2 linked regions of the Tamandua tetradactyla genome follow. The protein of the gene in region 1 purifies or fractionates together with the protein of each later gene. This does not show direct contact. Links are inferred from orthologs where the notes say so. Each region holds a gene or a part of one and is shown on either strand. Other genes may lie near its edges.

Region 1 (9,603 bases):
ACAAAGAGAATCATTACCATCCCCCTTTGTGGGACCTGACATTCAGGGTAAAATCTCCCTGACAACACAGGGCATGGATCCCAGGGATGCCTAGTACTGTGGGACCAATACCACCTTCTGGATCAAAAGGGGAAAAAAGAAGCATAATAAAATAAAGCATCAGTGGCCAAGAGAGATCAAATGGAATCAAGAGACTATGCTTATGTAAGCTTCAGTTAGATAGTGCTGATTGCCATGGTCTGCTAAACCCCAACCAACATCATTCCTCCTGACTCTTAAGAACACCTAGGGCTCAAACTGAGACTCTATAAAGGTTTCATACACCATGTTTGCTCTCCTGGAACCTATAAATCCCGGAGGGTTCCTAGGGCAGATAAATTCTGAAACCCAGAGGGACCATCCTCTCCAAGATTAACAATTAAATCCCCCTATCCTTTAGTGTTGATACCCATGCTCAACATAAGAAAGTCAGAAGGGACACTGCCCAAAGATCCCTACAGACTGGGAGAAGAATCAAAGAGGGAGGAAGTATAACAGAGAAAACAGGATTTAACAAATGAGTTTGACTGCTGAATCACTATATTAATATTCCTTCGAGCCTCCAACATTTTGGAGCAATAAGGAGGGGGAAAATCTGAGATAGTGGAATGATAGACCACAAAACTCTGGGATCTGTTCTGTAACTACTTATTGAAGTGTGCTTTGAAAATTATTGCTTTTTCTTTGCTTTGATTTGCTCACATGTTATACTTTACAATAAAAAAAGTTTTTTGAAAAAATGGCATTATTGAGACAAGAAAAAAATGGAAAACAGACTATAAGCTTTATATCAATGTTAAAACTCTTGAACTTGAAAACTGCAGTTAAGGTGATTCACAGGAAATATACATGGCAGTATTACGTGCTCAGGGTGTATTATATGTACAACCTACTCTCAAATGTTCAAAAAAACAGATAGCTAGATAAACAGATACATACATACATACATACATACATGAAGGAAGGGAGGGAGGGAGAGAGAGGGGCAGGGAGGGAAAGAAGAAGAAAGAAATAGCAAAGGTAGTATAAATGCTAAAATTGGTGGATCTGGACATCTGGTGGTAGGGTGGGGGGGTATGCTAGAGTTCTCTGGATGGGTTTTATATTATTTTTGCTACTGTCCTATGAGAGTCTGAAGTTATTTCAAAGTAAAAAGTTAAGAAAAAGATGTCACTCCCAAGACGTTATGAAGCTCTAGACCAACAGAAATATATTTCAAAGCAAATGCAACTTGAGATAAAGGGCAAGTTTTAGAGACAATGAACCCCCTATGAGGCCTTCACTCTCACTTTCCTTGAGGCTGGCCAAGATAATTTGAATTTTAGAAGCATGGATTTTAGGTACTCAATTGTATTACTGCACATTAGATCAAAAAACATACACATAACCTATTTGGCTAAATAAAGACTAGTTAAGACATGAGTTTAATTTGGCTTAGACATTCTGATTACTTTCTTGGTTAGATTAAAAAAATGAGAGAAAATGAGTACCTTGCCAGTTCCAGGAGGTCCTGCCAACAAGACAGCTCTTCCAGCCATTTTCTTGCTTTTGATTAATTCAACTATCACGCCACATGCCTACACACCAGAAATAATAAATCAATATTAAAACATTTCACAGGGGAAAAATATCCAGTCTCTGGTCCATACAATTCACATATATTCACTCAACTGAGTGCCAGTAAGCTGTAGGAATCATTCTAGGTGTGGGAGGCAGGAGTGAACAAGACAGAAATGCTTTGTAGTTTTGGAGCTCACGTTCTAGTGGAGAAGAAAAACAGATGCCTAAACACTGAATAAGAATGGGAAGATGAGGTTGAAGAGCTGGGCAAGAGCCAAAACTTGTAATAGGTTCTTATAATTTGGAGTAAAGTTTGAATTTTATTCTATGTGCAATAAGAAACTAATGAAAAGGCCTTAGGCTATGTGTCATTATGATTTATGTTCTTAAAAGATCATGCTGTTTAGGGGTGAAAGTCTCCCTGGCAACATGGGATACGAATCCCAGGGATGAGTCTGGCACTGGCACTATGGGATCAACAATGCCTACCTGACCAAACAGGGGAAAAGAACTGTAACAAATGGTATCAGTGGCCGAGAGTTCAAATAGAGCCAAGAGGCTCTTCTAGAGGCTACTCTTATGCAAGCTTCAGCCAGGATACTCCTATTTACCATGATTTGCCAAACCCCAACCAAAACCTTCCTGCAAACCTTAAGGGATACCCAGGGCTCTATCTGAGAGTCTACAAAAGTTCTATGAACTAGGATTATTTTCCAGAAACCTACAACCTCCAGATGGGTTCCTAGGCCAGATAAATCCTGAAACCCAGAGGGGTCAGCCTCTCCAGAATATCAACTACTTCCATTCCCCATCCCATATTGTTGTCAGCATTTTCCAACATAAAAAATTAAAATGGGCATAGTCCAAAAACCCCTAAAAATTGGGAGAATGATCAAAGGAGAAGGAGGAGTTATAATAGAGAAGACAGGATTTAAGAAATGAGTATGAGTGCTGAATGACTGTATCAATATTTCTTTTAGTCTCCAGTGTCTTGGAACAGCTAGAAGGAAAAATCTAAACTTGTGGAATTGTAACCCATACCAAACTCTGAAATTTGTTCTATAACTAATAGTTGTGGTATGCTTTGAAACACATTGTTTTTTTGAATATACGTTATATTTCACGATAAAAAAAAAATAGGTACCTGAAAAAAAAAAGACTAAGTACAAAAAGATCATGTTGGCTGCAATGTGGAGAATGGGCAGTAGGGGAACAAGTGGAAGTAGAGACTTTTAGGCTGGGACCCACAGATAGATTCCCACTCGCCTCTTGAAACTCGAGACAAAAATCTGTGTTTATGTTCATACATGCATTTCTCAAGGAAGAGAAGTCACAGCTTTTATTGGATTCTCAAAGTAATCTACTAAGAGTTAAGAATCAATGGCACACATGGTTTGTTCCTGGGTTTTGGCACCAAAAAAAAAAAAAGGAATTAATGACAAATACTACTAGCTGGCCATCAGTGGACTATCCCAGAAACTGCAAATCAATTGGCAATGCTGCACTTGAGGTCAAAACAATGGAACCATAAGATTCTTTCAAGTGCCTTTTGAATTCTCAAGATTAATCTTAGTGTTTAGTGTTAGTATATTTTAAATAATTTTAATCCTCTGGATATTAAGCCCTTTACTATATATTCATATTCCATAAATGGGTTACTGAGCTCTATATATTTTAGAACAGTTGACTATAAAGAAGGAAAGCTGGGAAAGTGGCATTTATTGAATGTCTATATGTCAAGGACTACATGATACAAGTTTCTACCAGCGAAAGAATAAAGTAATATATTATTAACTAAAAGGTGCATTCTCTTCTCCCTAGGTAGAGACCACTGCCCCCTACTGACAGGTCTTGTGAACACATCTTTATCTCCTCTATCACTAGGTAGCTCTCTGGGATAGGGTCCACATCTCTTTTCTTTAATCCCCGTGGCCTGTGGAGAAGTACTTTGTCCCACAGCCACCCCACAAAAATGTATGTAGGTATGCTGTATTCTACTTCTGGCTCAGCAAAGTGCAGTGGCCTTAACAGAGCCCAGAAGTTGTTCTTCAGATAATGCATTTCCTATAAGATCAAAACAAGCCATTATGATCTTTCTACACAACCTTGTGATATCATAATCCTAAAGCACTGAAAATCTTTGGGAACCTCAAAAAAAGGCAAGAAAGACTTTTGAAACCTTGGAGATATAAGACCAAGACCTTTTCCATTTAATCAGCATTCTCCCAGTTTAAGGTCCAACTTCTCTCCAGTTAGGTATGTTCAATGAATCAAAAATTTAATAAGAACAGGAAAGGCCTTTAAGAGATCGCCTAATTTAACGCTCTCGTTTTTCAGATGAAGCTCTTATGCACTCGGGAGGCTGCTGACATGACCATAGTCATACAAGGACCTGATAGCTGAGGTGGGTTTTCAGTACCTATTAATTCAATAAACAAATACTGAGTACCTGTAATGAACAAGGTTCTGCATATGTAATAAATATTACATGGTCTGTGTCCTAATGAAGCTCACAGTCATATCTAAAAATAGAACACCACAAATAAAAGCATGGATTCTGTGGTCAGACAGAGTTGGGTTTAAATCCTGGCGCTATCACTTACCACCTGAGTGGCCTTACACATGGTAACTTTTGTGAACCTCAATTTCCTCATCTGCAAAATCATAACTGTTAAAAGCATACACGTTAAAGAGTTGAGAGGTAAAGTGCATTGATGTCTGCAACTCACTTCAAAATGCAAAAGAGAATTGGTAGATGGACAGCAGGACAAATGTGATAAAGCAATATAGCAAAATGTTAATTGTAGCATTTAGGCACAAGGGTATTCATTACACAAGTATCAATCTGTATCTCTGAATGTCTGAATTTTCTCATGATAAAGCCCAGGGGGGTAGGGGCGATTAATATTTGGGTTTAGAAGACGAGCAAGATGATGGAAATGAAGCTTCTGAGCACAGTGCTTGGCACAAAGAAAGCACCCAACCAACGTTAGCTATTTGCAGTACCAGGTCCTCAATAAGCCAAAACTGAATAAAGAGAAATTAAAAGACATCTTGACCTCAAAGATGATGTCCTCAAAATGGAAACCACATCATGATGATGAATATGCAAATATGTGATGATATTGTGAATTACTGATTATATATATAGAACAGAATGATCATAAAAAAAAAAAAGGAAACCAGAGACTTTTCTTTACACCCATTCTATAGTACAATCAGGCTGGGGAGGCACCAGTCTTGGCCTTATATTTACGGTGGTTTCTTGGAGCTGCTACACCACGGCAGACGCCAGAAAGCATGCCTTTCCTTACAGCAACAGCAGGCTGAAATGGTGGCTGTGAGGCCAGAGAGAGGAGTGTATCGATTTGGGAGACACACACTTGGGTACAATTCTAGCTTTACCATATTAGGCTGAGTAGCAAGTAGATGGGTGAAGTAACCTCTCTAGCCCTCAGTTTTTTAATCTGCAAAAAAGAGCTTGAATAATTTGTGATTACTAAGTATGTGAAAGGACTAGGCATCACAGCCACCTCATAAAAGTGGATTTGACTGGAATGGTTAGCAAGGATGTTTGGAGCAGATAAACCAGAGATCTCTGCATAATTCCCACCTCTCTCCCTCCGACTCCAAAGCCCTGGGAACCAAAGTGATTCTTTAAATTAGGTCACTTTCTCACTTAAAACTCCCACTGCATTCCCAATAGGTAAAATCCAAATTCCTTATCATAGCAGACAAAGCCTTCCAGGAACTGACCCCTGCCTACCAAAATAATTTTGCTGTTTGCCTGTTGGTTTACATATTTATCATCTGTCTGCATCCCCACTAAGATGTGAGCAGGGACTCTTTGCATGAAATCAGGTACCATATCTACCTTGATCCCCGTTGTGTACCAGCATCGGAACAGAGCCTGGCACCGAGTAGGGGGCTCAATCAATAGGTGCTGTCAATGAGGTCAAACATTCAACCGCCCCGTGGGGAGGCGTTACCTGGTTTCCTGAGAAGACCCCTCACCTAGCCCCGGTGCGGTCCATCCCCTTCCCCGTACACACACACACACACACACACACACACACACGCCCCAAGGCCATTTTCACCTGCGGGAACTACGGCTCGAGACCCCCCCCTCCGCCCTCTTCAGCGCGTCCCTCGCAGCAGTGGCCCAACTCAGCGCCCCCCACTCCCTGGCCCCCGAGCCACACCTCTCGCGCGTTCTCCTGGCCCACAAGCCCCGAAGCCGCCTGCTTGGCCAGGCCACTCTCGTCCAGCCCCAGCCCCTTTACGTGGCTGTGGGAGGCGATGCGCTGCGTCTTCGTGGTACTTTTCACCTCCTCAATCTTCATTTTGTTGACGCGGGGAGTCGATAACCAGCACCAGTGACGAACACCACACGCCCGGCACCCGGGTTACCACGCGGCCGTTACTAGGGCGGTGCATAAGGGCCCGCCTTGGTCGGTGCTCCATTGGTGGAGACAGGAACGCCTCCGCTCTCCCATTGGATCAGGGCTGTGTCCATCGCGGCTGCCGGTGGGGCTCCGCCCTCCCACTTCCGGCTGTGTCTCTAGGGTATATTCCCCGGCACCGGCCCTTCCTGCCCCGGCTCCGGAGCGGGGGGCGCGGGGAGGCCTCGCGTTTAAGCGTCATGCTGTTCTTCGTGACGTCTTTTGGGGTCATTGTATATTATCGCATTTAGACATCACACTCTTCTACTAAATTCAGCTTATGACCTCGGCTTTAGCGTGGAAAAAGAGAGGCTCGAAGCTTAAAATTTTGACTTTTGATTAGTAAAAGTCTTCTGACTCCCAAGCCAGGTACTTTACTTTGCATCACCCTGGGGAGAAAACCGGCTCAGCCAAGCCCTCCCACCCTTCCTCTTCTCAAAATTGCCTCCTTGGAATTATACCCCTCTTCTTGCCTCCACTCTCTCCCCGTTTAAACAGTGAATAATATTTCAGTTTCCAAACTCTGCAACCCTGAAAGATAGTATCGTTTCCTAGCCAGCTGAAGAAGCAAGCTAAAAGAGGTACTATGGCCTGCCCAAAAACACATCAGATAATCGGCAAAAGCGAAACTCCAGCTGTGGACTTCAGACTTCAAGGCCTGGGCAATCCCCATCCAGGGTGGGTAATGAGCCAGTGAGCATCTCCTGTCAGGTTCATCATTTAACGCTACCACCACCACCACTTCCCCTCCCCAAAGCACTCCCATTCATTCAACAAACATTTGTTAGCCTCTGCTGTGAGCCAGACTCTTCAACTTACTGGGGATATGAGATCTCTACCCCTGAGGAATTTGCTCCCTGGTTGGGAAACAGGCAGTGTGAGATGTGCTGGAACAGATACAACCAGATGGTGGGCGAACCAGCGGCCCCTGAAACAGCCTGGGGCGCCAGGAAAAGCATCACGAAGGTAATGATGGCTAGGTTGAATCCTGACAAGTGGGTGAGACTTCTCAGAAGCACATAATATGTTGCCATTTTACAGATGAGAAAACTGAGGTGAAAATGGGAGGGATTCCAGAGCCTGTGTTAAGGTTGAAGTAAAATCCAGCTGCAGTAGTCCCTGTCACACCTCCTGATATTCTCCTTTCTAACTTTTGAATCTAAATTTGTAATTATTTGCATGATTATTGGGTCGTTGTTTGTCTCCCTAAAGACTAAATTGCAGGTATTATGAAAGCATAGGGTGCATTTGTGTTTTTTTGCTTTTTAACCTCAGTGCCCAGCATACAACATGGCTTATAATTAAAGGCTTCCTATGAACTCAAACCAGGTTCCAGAGTCCGCACACACACTTGAACTCAGGCAGTTTTGCTGCATGAATTTTACAGCCTGGGTTTTATGAGACTTGGTGATGGTTTCTGTCCATGAATGGGGCTTTCTGGCACTTTCAGAACCTGAAAGAGTAGAGATAAGTCCTTGAAAGGCTGAGCTTGTCACCAGTGGCCTGTGATTCATCAACCCTAGGGCCATGACTCCTTACACACCCTGCAAGGTTGTTTGGCATCTTAGTGACTTATTCTCAGTCATGATTCTTAGATGAGCAACTCCTTTCACCAGGTGGAAGAGGAAACCTTTTCCCCAACTAGTTGTCAAAGTGAGGTGCTCTGTGGGCTGACACCTTTATGTATTGTTCAGGTAGGGGAAGATGTTTTTACATTTATCCATTTAAGGGGCTCCAAACTGTGTCTCTTTGGCACTGAGCAAAGAGAAATATTTCCTTCCAGCCAAATATGGGAGAGAACTAAGGATCAATCTTAAAGTTTGAAGACTCCTTGGGACCACTTGGTCCAGTGGTTTTCACACCACACTCCTTGTAGTTGTAGTATTCTTTTGTGGCCAGTAGGAGTGGGGAAGGGGAAGGTTGAGAGTGCATGACAGCAGCTCCATGCCCCTCTCCCCCCACACCAGAACTGTTCCATTCATTTTACTGCTAAAGAATTATTCAAAAATTGCTGATATGGCCAAGCGACCTCATTTTACAGGTGGGGAAACTGAGACTCCAAAAAGGAATGGGGGTTGCCCAACGTCACAGAACAACCAAATCCTGGAGCCTAGACTCTCTCACTCACAGTGTTTTGAAAAGATCCTGGACCTGGTTCCTTTTCATTTCAACTGCAGCAGAACAGAATCCGAGATATACAATGTGCTGAACATGAAGAGCAGGTGAGGCCTACATCAGTGAACATGGGTGTTCTAGTTTGCTAGCTGCCAGAATGCGACACACCAGAGATGGATTGGCTTTCAATAAAAGGAGATTTATTTAGTTAATGTATAGTTCTTCAGAGGAAAGGCAGCTAACTTTCAACTGAGGTTCTTTCTCACATGGGAAGTCACAAAGCCATCTCTGCTGGCCTTCTCTCCAGGCCTCAGCATTCCAACAAGTTCCCTGGGATGATTCGTTTCTACAGCTCCAAAGGTGTGGGCTGAGCTGCGAGTGCCAAGATGAGGTATGCTTAGCTGCATGGGATGTGCTACATTGAGCTCACTCATTTAAGCACCAACCAACTAAATCAAACATCATTCATTGCAGCAGGCACGCCTCCTAGCCAACTGCAGATGGAATCAGCAACAGATGAGGCTCACATGCCATTGGCTCATAGCCACAGCAACAGAACTAGGTGCTTCACCTGGCCAAGTTGACACCTGAATCTGACTACCACAATGGTTATTTTACCAGCATCCATCCCCTCTTCTTGTGGTACCATGACTCTCATTTTCTTTAGGAATCCCGTCTTCCCCCACTGTAGACCCAGTAGTTTGGGGCTGATCCCACTCCACCCCCTACCTTTATTTCTAGGAGTGCCTAGACCTGGCTTATCAGAATATCCCACCCACCTCGCCCTGGTATTTCAATACTGGGAATTTCAGAAGAGAGAAGCTTTGGCTACTTCATGGGGAGCCCCTGCCTGAAAATGAAACCAATACAAAGGAAGGCAAAGCTGAGAGAAGGAAACTCCTGATGAAATCATTTACATTCTTGGATCCAAACTGCCTTACTTGCCACGTAACTTTGCACTTTGGGGCTTAAGATTGTTTGAGTTGGGTGGGCCACAGTGGCTCAGCGGCAGAGTTCTCGCCTGCCATGCCGGAGACCTGATTCAATTCCCGTGCCTGCCTATGCAAAAAGAAAAAAAAGTGTTTGAGTTAACTTTCTATTCGAAGCAATTAAAAATCCATATCAGTGCACTGACATAAATACAATTAACTGTGTGGACCATTACATTCCAGAATTGTTCTTTGTGACAACCAATCCTGCCTGCCAGCTCTCATTCTCTCACTCCCAAGACCCTGGTACATTGATCTCCAGTTCCTCAGCCCCTCTTTTCTCTAGCCTAAGATCAATCAAATTAGCCTCTCACCTCTCAACCTTTCTGCTACCTCCTTTCCTTGACTTCTGCCATGCCTGCCCTTTGAACTCACAAGCCCAGGTCAAGCCTACCTCTCTGTCTTCTTCATTAACTCACAGGAGCTGCTGGTTATGGTAGGAAAAAATCACCCAGAGG
Region 2 (9,603 bases), on another chromosome or scaffold:
TTCATGGTGATGAATACACAACTATGTGATGATACTGTGAGCCACTGATTGTCACCACGTATAAAATGTATGTGTGTGAAGATTTCTCAATTAAAAAAAAGCAATGTAGAACATCAAAACAATGAGATTATGTCCAGCACATATCAATAATTCAATAAATTTATTGTTTAAGAAATGAAAATGACATTTACTTTTTGCCTATTGACACCATTTTTCCAGAATGTTTCTATTTTGTATGTCATAGCTTTTCATATATATAGCAATACTTTTAAAGCTAAATTAAACTCAAATACTTGAACACTTCATTCAGAAGTCCACTTCAATAAATAAACTGTAAAACAATATTCTCAACTAAAAACATAGAAAGCAACAATGTTCTAAATCCATTTGAGATCAATTTTCCTGAAGGAAAATTCTTCCCAATATTTTAAGCTATTTTATCAATCTTTCCTTTAAATTGGCAAGAATAAAATTATAAGCATAAATATCCTAGAATTGAGCTCTTTTAGCCTCACATTTTTCCATTCACTACAAAAGAATAATGGAAATCAAAACACACTGTTTACTTTAGCCTATGTTAGTATGAAAACACATCCAGAAGAACATTCAGTTAACTTTCTGAGTTATAAAGATTTGGTGGTAGTCTAATTAGGTGAAATTCAGGAATAAAACTTTTAAATCTCAGTGTAACCAATAACTTCAATTTCCGTCAACACCAAACCTTTTATCATATCTTACACAAACGTTCTAGATATTTCCCTCCCTGAATTCTTAAATTATTTCAATAAATCTTCTGAGCACTTTCTATGTAACATAGACTTTATTAAGTATTGCACATACCTTATTTCAGCTAATGTTCACATCAATCCTGTGAGGACATCTTCATTTTACATATAACTCAACAAGGCTTAGAGAAGCTAAGTGACTTGTCCTTGATTACAGAGCTGTTAAGAGGTAAAGACTATCTGAACTGTTTTCATCACGTAACACAAATGTACCTTTCCTATCTCTTTATTTGGTAATCACATACTGCCTCACAATACATTTGTGCTACTGATTTTTGCTCATAATTTTTTCTTCTGTTTATGTTTTTAAGACCAATAATTGTGCTTTGATATGTTTTAGTGTCCATTAGCAGGTTGGTTCAAGTTGCTTTTATGACAGAATAATGGCAAATTGTGTAAGTTTTGACAGGCTTTAAAATTTTTCAGAGACTCACACATGTAAAATGGAGATGACACCAAAACTGAGTGCTTACTGTTAAATGGCTTACCTGTATTAACCATTTCAATCCTTACAAAAGCAGTATGAGATCAATACACTGTTGTTTCCACTCAAGAGATGAAAAAGCCAAAGGCTAGAGAGGTTCCCTAACTTTCCCAAGAACAGAAGGTTACAAACTACTAAGTAAGGAACCAGGCTTCAAAATCAAGGTATTCTATCGGTAATGCCAAAAAGTTTATTGTCAAAACTGTTTCTCTAAGACTAGATAATGGTTAATTGAAACCATATATTCATACAGCGGAGGAATTAAAAACTTATTCATGCCTTTTTTTTCCTTCTCTTCCCTTTCCTGTCCTCCCTGGTAGAGTGATCAAAGGCAATTTACGGGAGAGACAGAAAAGCAGAAAGCGTAAGTGCTTCAATAACATCGGAAATAAAGTTAAAAAGGGAGCCCTACATTCTTATTCAGATATCAATAATTTTCTTCTTAACTTGAAAATACTTTAAACCTCAAGTAAAATAGCATCTATTGGCAAGATAATAGAGTGTAGTGTTTCTGGACCTTTTGGAGTCTGACAGCTCAAGTACTATTCTGACTTTGCCATACTGTGAGACCTTGGATAAGACATTTTCATTCATTCGTTCATTCAATCCTTGAAAAGTCTGCCTCCACATCGCCAAACGAAGCCTGTACCTCTACATAGGTTTATTCTGAGGAGTAAATGAAATAATTCACCTGAAATGCCTGACAATACTTGGCACTTTGTAGTGCTCAATAAATGTTGGCTATTATTATTACCTTTAAGCCTAGCAAGGAGGAAAATGAACACTGTGACTTCAACTGAAGGAAGTATTGTGTTCCTAAGAGTTTTGTCTAATTTTTTGACAATTATGGTGTTATCAACTCAGATACTATTTAGCAAATCATTACTGACTCTTGATCATTCCTGCCAAATGTATGCTCCTCTCTACGCTCTTTCCCAGGGAAAAATAATGTCATCCAAGGTATTTGGAAATGTTCGCTTTGGGAATAGCTTTCGACTCCAGAGATGGTGGAACCTGAGATCTATAAATTAGCCACTAGAGTTCCCTGTTTCTCTCACTTCATTTGGGGCCTAGGCCTTATTTGGGGGTGAGTTGGGGAGGGAAGGGGCCCCACAACTAAACACTTAGATTCAAAGCATCCCCCTCCGGTAAGAGAGCATCCGACAAATTTCCTCCCAGAGGATGAGCGCGAGTACATTTACGAAAACCGACCCGAGAGCCAGCAACTCTCGCCTGTCAGCTCGGAGCCTGCGACCCGCAGGCAGGCTGGTGCAGAGAGGGACTCCGTTTACCCACCCCGAGCCCGGCCCAGGGAGGCCGGGCTGGGGCTGGACCTGGGGCGGGGGGTGTGTCGGGACACTCCTCCCCAGTGCCCCGCGGCAGGACAGAGCAGGCCGGGGTCTCGCCGGCTCCCTGAGGGGCAATGGCGGGGGCAGCGGACGGGCTACTCGGTGGTCTAGGGATGGGCAGGGAGGGGAGGGACGCTGAGGTCCTCACCGCGGGCCGAGGGCAGTGGGTAGAGCTTCTCGGCCTTCTGCAGGAAGCGCTGGGCCTTCTCGCGGTTGCCGGCGTTCAAGGCCTCCCTGGCGATCTCGACACATTTCTCCGCCTCATCCCGATTCCCCTCCATGGCTTGTGCCTCCTTCCGTTTCCTCTGGCAGCGCAGCTACCAGGGGCGGAAGCCGCCGGGGCGGGGGCGTGCGGAGAACTGGGAGGAGCGCAGAGGACCGAGGCTGCGGCCCGGGCTGAGGGCGGGCTTCGCAGCTCCGCCTCCTCACGGTGGTCTTCCCGCCCCCTGCGGGCAGCTACGGCCAAGACCGCATCCCTCCTGGCCCGGGACTCGGCGACCGGTGCGCGGCACCTACAGGTTCCCAACCCCAGGAAGCGGGAGGGCGGGCGATACTAGCTAAGCTACCCGGATGGAGGGCGCGTTCCGCGGATCCCGGACCCCTGACCTCCGGCCGCGACTTCCGCAGACCCAAACCAGGCTTTCGGGAGGTCAGGGTGATGTGATGGGACTGAGGGGATTCTCATTTTCAGTATAACTCCCTGGGCACGACGAAGGCTCTCCCTCTGGGCCACCTTAGCGGTGGAGCATCCAGTCAGGTGCAGACGCAGCCAGTCCCCGCGAAACACTAACCGCACTGTTCATAAATGTTAGTGCGTCGTGTGACTCCCAACCCGGGGCTCGCTTTACAGCCTGTTTATTTTACCTACACCTTTCAGACCCAGACACTATTAGATTGTCGGACCAATTAGACAAGAAACATTGTTTTCTTTGTACTTTTCTCATGAAAAGCACTGTCCTGTTCTCGTGACCAAAACAAAGCAGGAACCAGCCCTTTCACAAACGCCTCACCATCACAAGAGACTTCTTGGTTTTCTCCCCTTTTTCATTTTTATTACTATCATAAAATGTCATACTGATGACATCAAATGTCATATCGATCTCTTGGGGGATTGCCATTGTTTTATAATGTCTATATCCAAATTTTACATTTTCTGAGTAACTTGCCAGAAGCCACGTGTCAAAATGACCCACTTAATCCAGTCACTAACGATCCATTTTCTATGTTGATTTAACTTAGCCATGCTGAATGAACCATAGCCCACTTTCAAAGAAATTCTAGTTTTCTTGTATAAAAAGGGGTAACGTATCTCCTCAAATGTTATTATAGACCTTATTAAAAAGTGTCTAGCACTCAAAAAGGACACTGTTATTATCTTTGAAGTCTAAACGTCAAGTTAATTCTGTGGAAACTGCTGTATTCAAGATTTCCCTACTTCCCTCCCCAGCCCACCAAAGTAAATAGTGCACTGGTGTAATAGTGTCACATAGACCACTCGATGTACAGATGGCCAAACCTTAATCTAAAAATCACAGTATCATATCCTACTGCAGGAACTCCTGCCAGTTTAAAAACCTTACAAAGCTGATTACATAACCTTAAAACAATTTTAGTTGAACCATCTGCTTTGAACTACAGAATTAATGTAATTTGAAGGGAAGAAAATGTGCTTAGTTATGTCGTTGGATGAGTTGCCTATTCAAAATATAAGTTCCCATTACAATCAAGCAAATTTAAAACACAATTAGGTTGGGATATGACCTTTATTGAGCTTATCCACCAGAGTGGAAATAATGTCTGTACAAAACCAAATGTTTGTTACTATAACTTCTGCATCACAATTAAAATCCAAACAGTTTTTTAAAAACAGTCAACTCAATCAAAACCCACTACTTCAGAATCAATAGCTTCTTTGAAGCCACAGTAACACTTAAATATGGTTAAGACTCAAATGCAGAAATTTGGTTGGTTGGAAAGCGAATTAAACTTCCAACTTGCTCAAATAGAATTACAAAAAGGCAAAATTGTGTTTTTCACAGAGATACAGTCCACTGGAATCACCAACACTGGACAGCTGTTAGAGTATTTAGAGTCCTGAGATAATAAGGAATCCAGGCATCCTTTAGACAGTCTTCTGTTGTCCTTTCTTCCCAATCAGAGATTTGTGGATATGTGGAATGACACCTAGGAGAGTGACAGGGATTAATTTTACTTTAATCTACATATTTTAAAAAGTCACACAGTACTTAAAATGAAGGCACTGTACAGTTCAACTTAAAATGTCTTTAAAACGTGACACTCAAATAAAAATGCATTTTAAGTTACATATCATAAATCAAATTTCACGATATACGACCACACTGCATCAATAAAAATGTGTCCTCTTAAACTAGAAGAGAATTTTTTTTCTCTAAAGCATTTTAAAGTTTTAGTTACATACCACCCCCAGCAATTGTAGCCTTGATCAGAGAGTCCAATTCTTCATCTCCACGAATAGCAAGTTGCAAATGACGAGGGGTAATACGCTTTACCTTTAAATCTTTCGATGCGTTTCCTGCCAGTTCAAGTACCTAGAAGGCAGAATCTAATCAATCTCCTTCGGCCAAGACCCAGAAAGCAAAATTAAACCTTCGTGAATGTAGATCTACCCATTGTCATCGTTCCCCGACTACCTGAATGGCAAGATAAAACAAAAACTACAGAGGGGGCAACCAATTATTTCCAAGAGCTGCAAACTCAAGCCCAACAGGATCCCTTATTGAACACCAGCTCCCTCTAGCGTTCTGAGAGGCTTCTCGCTGGGTTTACGGCCTGGGAGTTTTCTTGCATCACTTTCCTCCTTTCCTTTCCTCCCCCCCTAACCAAAACCTTTCCCAGATTACAGGTATACACCCATTTACCTCTGCGGTGAGGTACTCCAGGATGGCTGCGCTGTATACAGCGGCAGTCGCGCCCACACGCCCATGGCTGGTCGTCCTAGATTTCAGATGTCGATGAATACGGCCCACCGGAAACTTAATCGTAAGCACACACAAACATAAATGCACAAAGATGTAAGTGTCAAAGACGGAAAAATTATACAAGCACCAAAGCAATGATTACGGGCTACGCTGGTGCAGCAACACGCCCCAGGATCGACACGCGTGATCGGCTCCCCCCCCCCCATATTTATCATATCGGCAACCCAAGTCGCGACACCACATCTCTCCTGAACAGACAAAACACCACAGAGCGGTGACAAACGAGAAACGAGGTGCAAGGAAAAAGGTCACGATTCTAACACTGCACGAACATCCACTGACCTGCAAGCCGGCTCTCTGCGAGCGGGAAACCGCCTTTGTCTTGGCCTTTCCGGAGTCCTTCCCAGCCTTACCGCCAGCCTGCGGCGCGCACACGCCCGAAAGCGGAGGAGGAACGCAGAATATAGGATTACCAGGGCGACGCGCCCCTCCCCCACGGCAACGCAACCCGGGCGCGAGCGCGGCCCCGCTGGGGTCTCCGGCCCGCCGCGCCGCGGGGGCGACCCCGCCCGCCGGCCCCCCGCCGCGCGCTCTTCGCGGCCGCGCGCCTCCGCCCGCCCGCCCCCAGTGGCCCTGCGCGCGCGACCTAACCGTCGCCGCCCGCCACGAGATCCGAGGCTGCTCCGCTTGCTGCCGACAAAACACCTCCCCCAGATCTTCTAAATCCTGTCTCCGCGCGTTCCCAACAGCCGCCACTTCACCCCATCCCCGTGTATAACGGATCTTACTCCCACTGGCAAAAACCCGCGGAGTCGTCAAGCTCTTCTGCTAAGTTTACCATTTCGAATTCTGCTGTAGCTCAAACAAACAAGGCAGAGAAAGGGCTAGTCAAACCCCCAGCGAAGCCCAGCCGCCTACTCCTTCGTCGCACCGCGATTCAAACTGCGCTGTCTCCCGCCTTCCCCGCTCCCTTTATACTGCAGAATGTTCCCTCATCCGGGAACTCGGATTGCTCATCGCACCAATGGCTGCCACCCGCCCTCGGGACGCGTCCTTGAGGTCTCAGCCAATGATAAGGCCAAGAAAAGGACGGAGGGGCGGGTGCTTCGCAACTCGAGCCGCGATTGGGGCGTGTGAAGCGAGAGGTGGGGGAGGGCGGAGGGACGGCAACTGGGGAGAAGAAGGACACAGCGGCGGGAGGGAAGAAACAGAGCGAGCTACGCTGCAGGAGCTCAGGGACCAGCGGGTCGCGGTCACGTGTCGGGAGGAGGGGCTGAGGGATTCAGGGGAGAGGCAGGCAGTACCACCCCCTTCGTAAACCCCCAGCAGAGCTCTGGAGACCACGTGAAAGCTCCTCCAGGCCTTGTGTACTCTATTGCTCCGGACGGTGCACGCCAGCATAGCGCAGCTTTCTTTCGGGAACCCGGGCGCCCTCTTCTTCGCCCCCTTCGCATCCCAGGCTGCTACTCCTGTCAGACAGGTAGCGTAAACGCATCCTGTAGAAGAAGTCCCGTGGTCTGTCCCGCTCCGCGAGGCATAAACTTCCAGTTATTTCTCCTAGGCGAGACCCGCAGCTCCCTCTGCGTTTTCAGCTGTATTCCACCCGCTCTTTCCTCACCACTTTTGAATCCACCCCCGCTTAGTTCCGTGGGTACAAACAGTTGAACAACCGCACTTCACTGGACTCAAAACCTTTTTTGTCCACCTCACAGGAGGCTTGGGGGTGAGGCGGTATTCTTTAATCAAATCAGAAACTTTAACATTTTTCTGGAGACTACGCATGAATGAATTGTACCCATAACTTGTTATTTAAAGTTGATTTAGTGAAACCTTAAAACTGTTAAGTGTCAACTTTTTTTACACAACATTTTGCTACAAATATTCAGTAAATGCCAGTAGGGGAACTCTTCATGATTCACAGTCAGTTACAGATGGTCCATGTAATCAGTTGCAAATGGTGGGCTTAAAAAATAGTGCGGTACACAAAGTACTATCATAATGCCAGCTACTTAATCTTCCAGCTAATAAATTGGTAACACCTGTGTACATCTCCAGCAGCTTGTGAACAAGTGATAGCAACTCACATTTACAATGTTTAATAGTTTATTATTTTTTTGACAAAATTGGATAGTCAGATTCAACGTATATACTCTAAAGTACTTTGGATTGACTTTCAATTTGAAAGAGTTTATAAGATTAGAGAAACTCCCTATTTCTGGGAGATAAACCCTAGAAAATGGTTTCCCAACGATTTTGAGAAGGTCCTTTTTTATTATTTCTCCCCCTGGGGACCCAGGGGTTCTTATGATGTTATTAATAGCAAGAGTCAGTCAGTTCCCCCACTTAATTGATGTAATAACAGTCAAAAGCTAAGAAACCTGAAGTAGTTAGTTTGAGCTCAATTGAAGCGTCAGGAAATCCGAGGCAACATTAATACCTTATCCAGTTTAGAGATTACTCTATGTGATCTTTGCCGTCAGAGACCCAGCTAAAGAAATTTGCTCTTGCTTCACTAAATAGTGGTTATTTAGTTATTGAGTGATTGAGCTCAAGAGCTGGAAGACTTAAAGTTTGCTCTACCTCCTCCTCACAGTATGATCTTAGTTACTAACTGTTGAAGCCTCTGCCAAGTGGCTATGGTAGCACCTAGTTTCATGTGATTATTGAAATATGGAAAAAGGTTTGCAAGGTACACAGTAGCATGTGTTTGGCACACAGTAACTGGCACTCAGTAAACGATAACTATTATCTTCTACATTGGCTGGATGAAATAATCTTTAAAGTATCTTTGATTCCTAAATATTTTTTCCTGTGTAATAAATGGTATTCCTTGGATGTAGAATCAGCAAAATTTGAAACCTATTCAAGATAAACTCAACCAGATCATCTAAAATCTGAAATTGGTTTAGTACACTCAACAGTTTTCCTCTTCCTGAAGTGAATGGAACAATAATGATTTCTTCCCTTTTCATAGCAGTTATGTGATGGTTTCCTACCCCTTTTCCTGTCCTGGAGAAAACCATGATGCAAAAATATTAATCCTCTTATCTCTCTAGTACTTGTGTTCATGCTAATACATATGTAATGTAGTCATAGTTACATAATTTTTAATGCCATATCCAATAAGTTACTTAATAAATGCTAATAGTGAAAAAAATTAATAATATGAATTATATGGTCTTAATATTATTGCCTTTTTCCTTAATAGCTTTTTTTCTACTTCAGCCAGACACTCTACAACTAATTACTATCTCCTCTCAAACACTAGCAACTAGCAACTACTGTTGGTTTTGACTTTTTATGTAGAGAATTCGAGAGATCATCCCATACTTGGAAATTTCTGATTTCTCAAACACATCTTTCTTTAAACACCTTTTTTTGGGCGATAAATATGAAGAGACTTTCCAGCTATTTCAAAGATGTTAGCCTAGATAGATAATGGCAGAATACTTCTGAGGAAATCCAAATTAGAATTTTGGTTCTTTGTACTTAGGGCATCGTGGAAAGAATGTACCTTCAAAGACTGACTAGTCGTCAATAACTGAGTTCCAGCATGGTATAATACAAAATATTTACCCAGAATAAAAGAACTTGGGTTGAGTCAGACTCAGCCACTCATTATTATTAAATAGGTATACATAGCAGCAGATAAGCCAACCTCATAAAATTGTGAAAGGGTTTCACAGAGTGTGAAGAATATATGGGGTGGTATATTAACTTTTGTGACACAAAGGCTGTAGTTCTCCCCAAATTCTACACATAAATATGATTATGTTAAGAGAAGCCCATGCTGTTTAGTTCAGTGTTGATGAAGCCAAGGTCATGAGTTTGAATTCCATATTGCCCAACTTTGTACTTTCCAGGATCACAGATTACATACATTCAATTCACGGGAAGCCTTTTAAGCCTTTTAAGGAAGACTCAGAGGAGACAGGTCCCATTCCTGCTTCGGCTGATGAGCCTCTCCTGTAGAGTTCATCCAGACCATCCATCAGAGTCATCAGTTTCACAGCCTGCCCTGTGAA

The links.
Region 2: the proteins of RUVBL1 (region 1) and H2AZ1 purify together in Homo sapiens (affinity purification with mass spectrometry; 6 studies listed by BioGRID and IntAct, with this or other methods). This does not show direct contact. The link is inferred for Tamandua tetradactyla from reciprocal best matches to the Homo sapiens genes RUVBL1 and H2AZ1.

Annotation. Positions count from the first base shown.
Region 1 is NC_135335.1:30,899,606-30,909,208, forward strand, and holds the start of RUVBL1 (ruvB-like 1), read right to left. Parts: upstream 6,047-9,603; 5' UTR 5,943-6,046; coding exon 5,802-5,942; intron 5,723-5,801; exon of another isoform or gene 5,697-5,722; intron 1,617-5,696; coding exon 1,530-1,616; intron 1-1,529. UniProt on the Homo sapiens protein: Possesses single-stranded DNA-stimulated ATPase and ATP-dependent DNA helicase (3' to 5') activity; hexamerization is thought to be critical for ATP hydrolysis and adjacent subunits in the ring-like structure contribute to the ATPase activity.
Region 2 is NC_135350.1:24,383,528-24,393,130, reverse strand, and holds H2AZ1 (histone H2A.Z), read right to left. Parts: upstream 6,602-9,603; 5' UTR 6,420-6,601; coding exon 6,417-6,419; exon of another isoform or gene 6,213-6,416; intron 5,999-6,212; coding exon 5,921-5,998; intron 5,633-5,920; coding exon 5,519-5,632; intron 5,189-5,518; coding exon 5,059-5,188; intron 4,803-5,058; coding exon 4,741-4,802; 3' UTR 4,363-4,740; downstream 1-4,362. Other genes in the region: DNAJB14 (dnaJ homolog subfamily B member 14), read right to left, coding at 2,767-2,899. UniProt on the Homo sapiens protein: Variant histone H2A which replaces conventional H2A in a subset of nucleosomes. Nucleosomes wrap and compact DNA into chromatin, limiting DNA accessibility to the cellular machineries which require DNA as a template.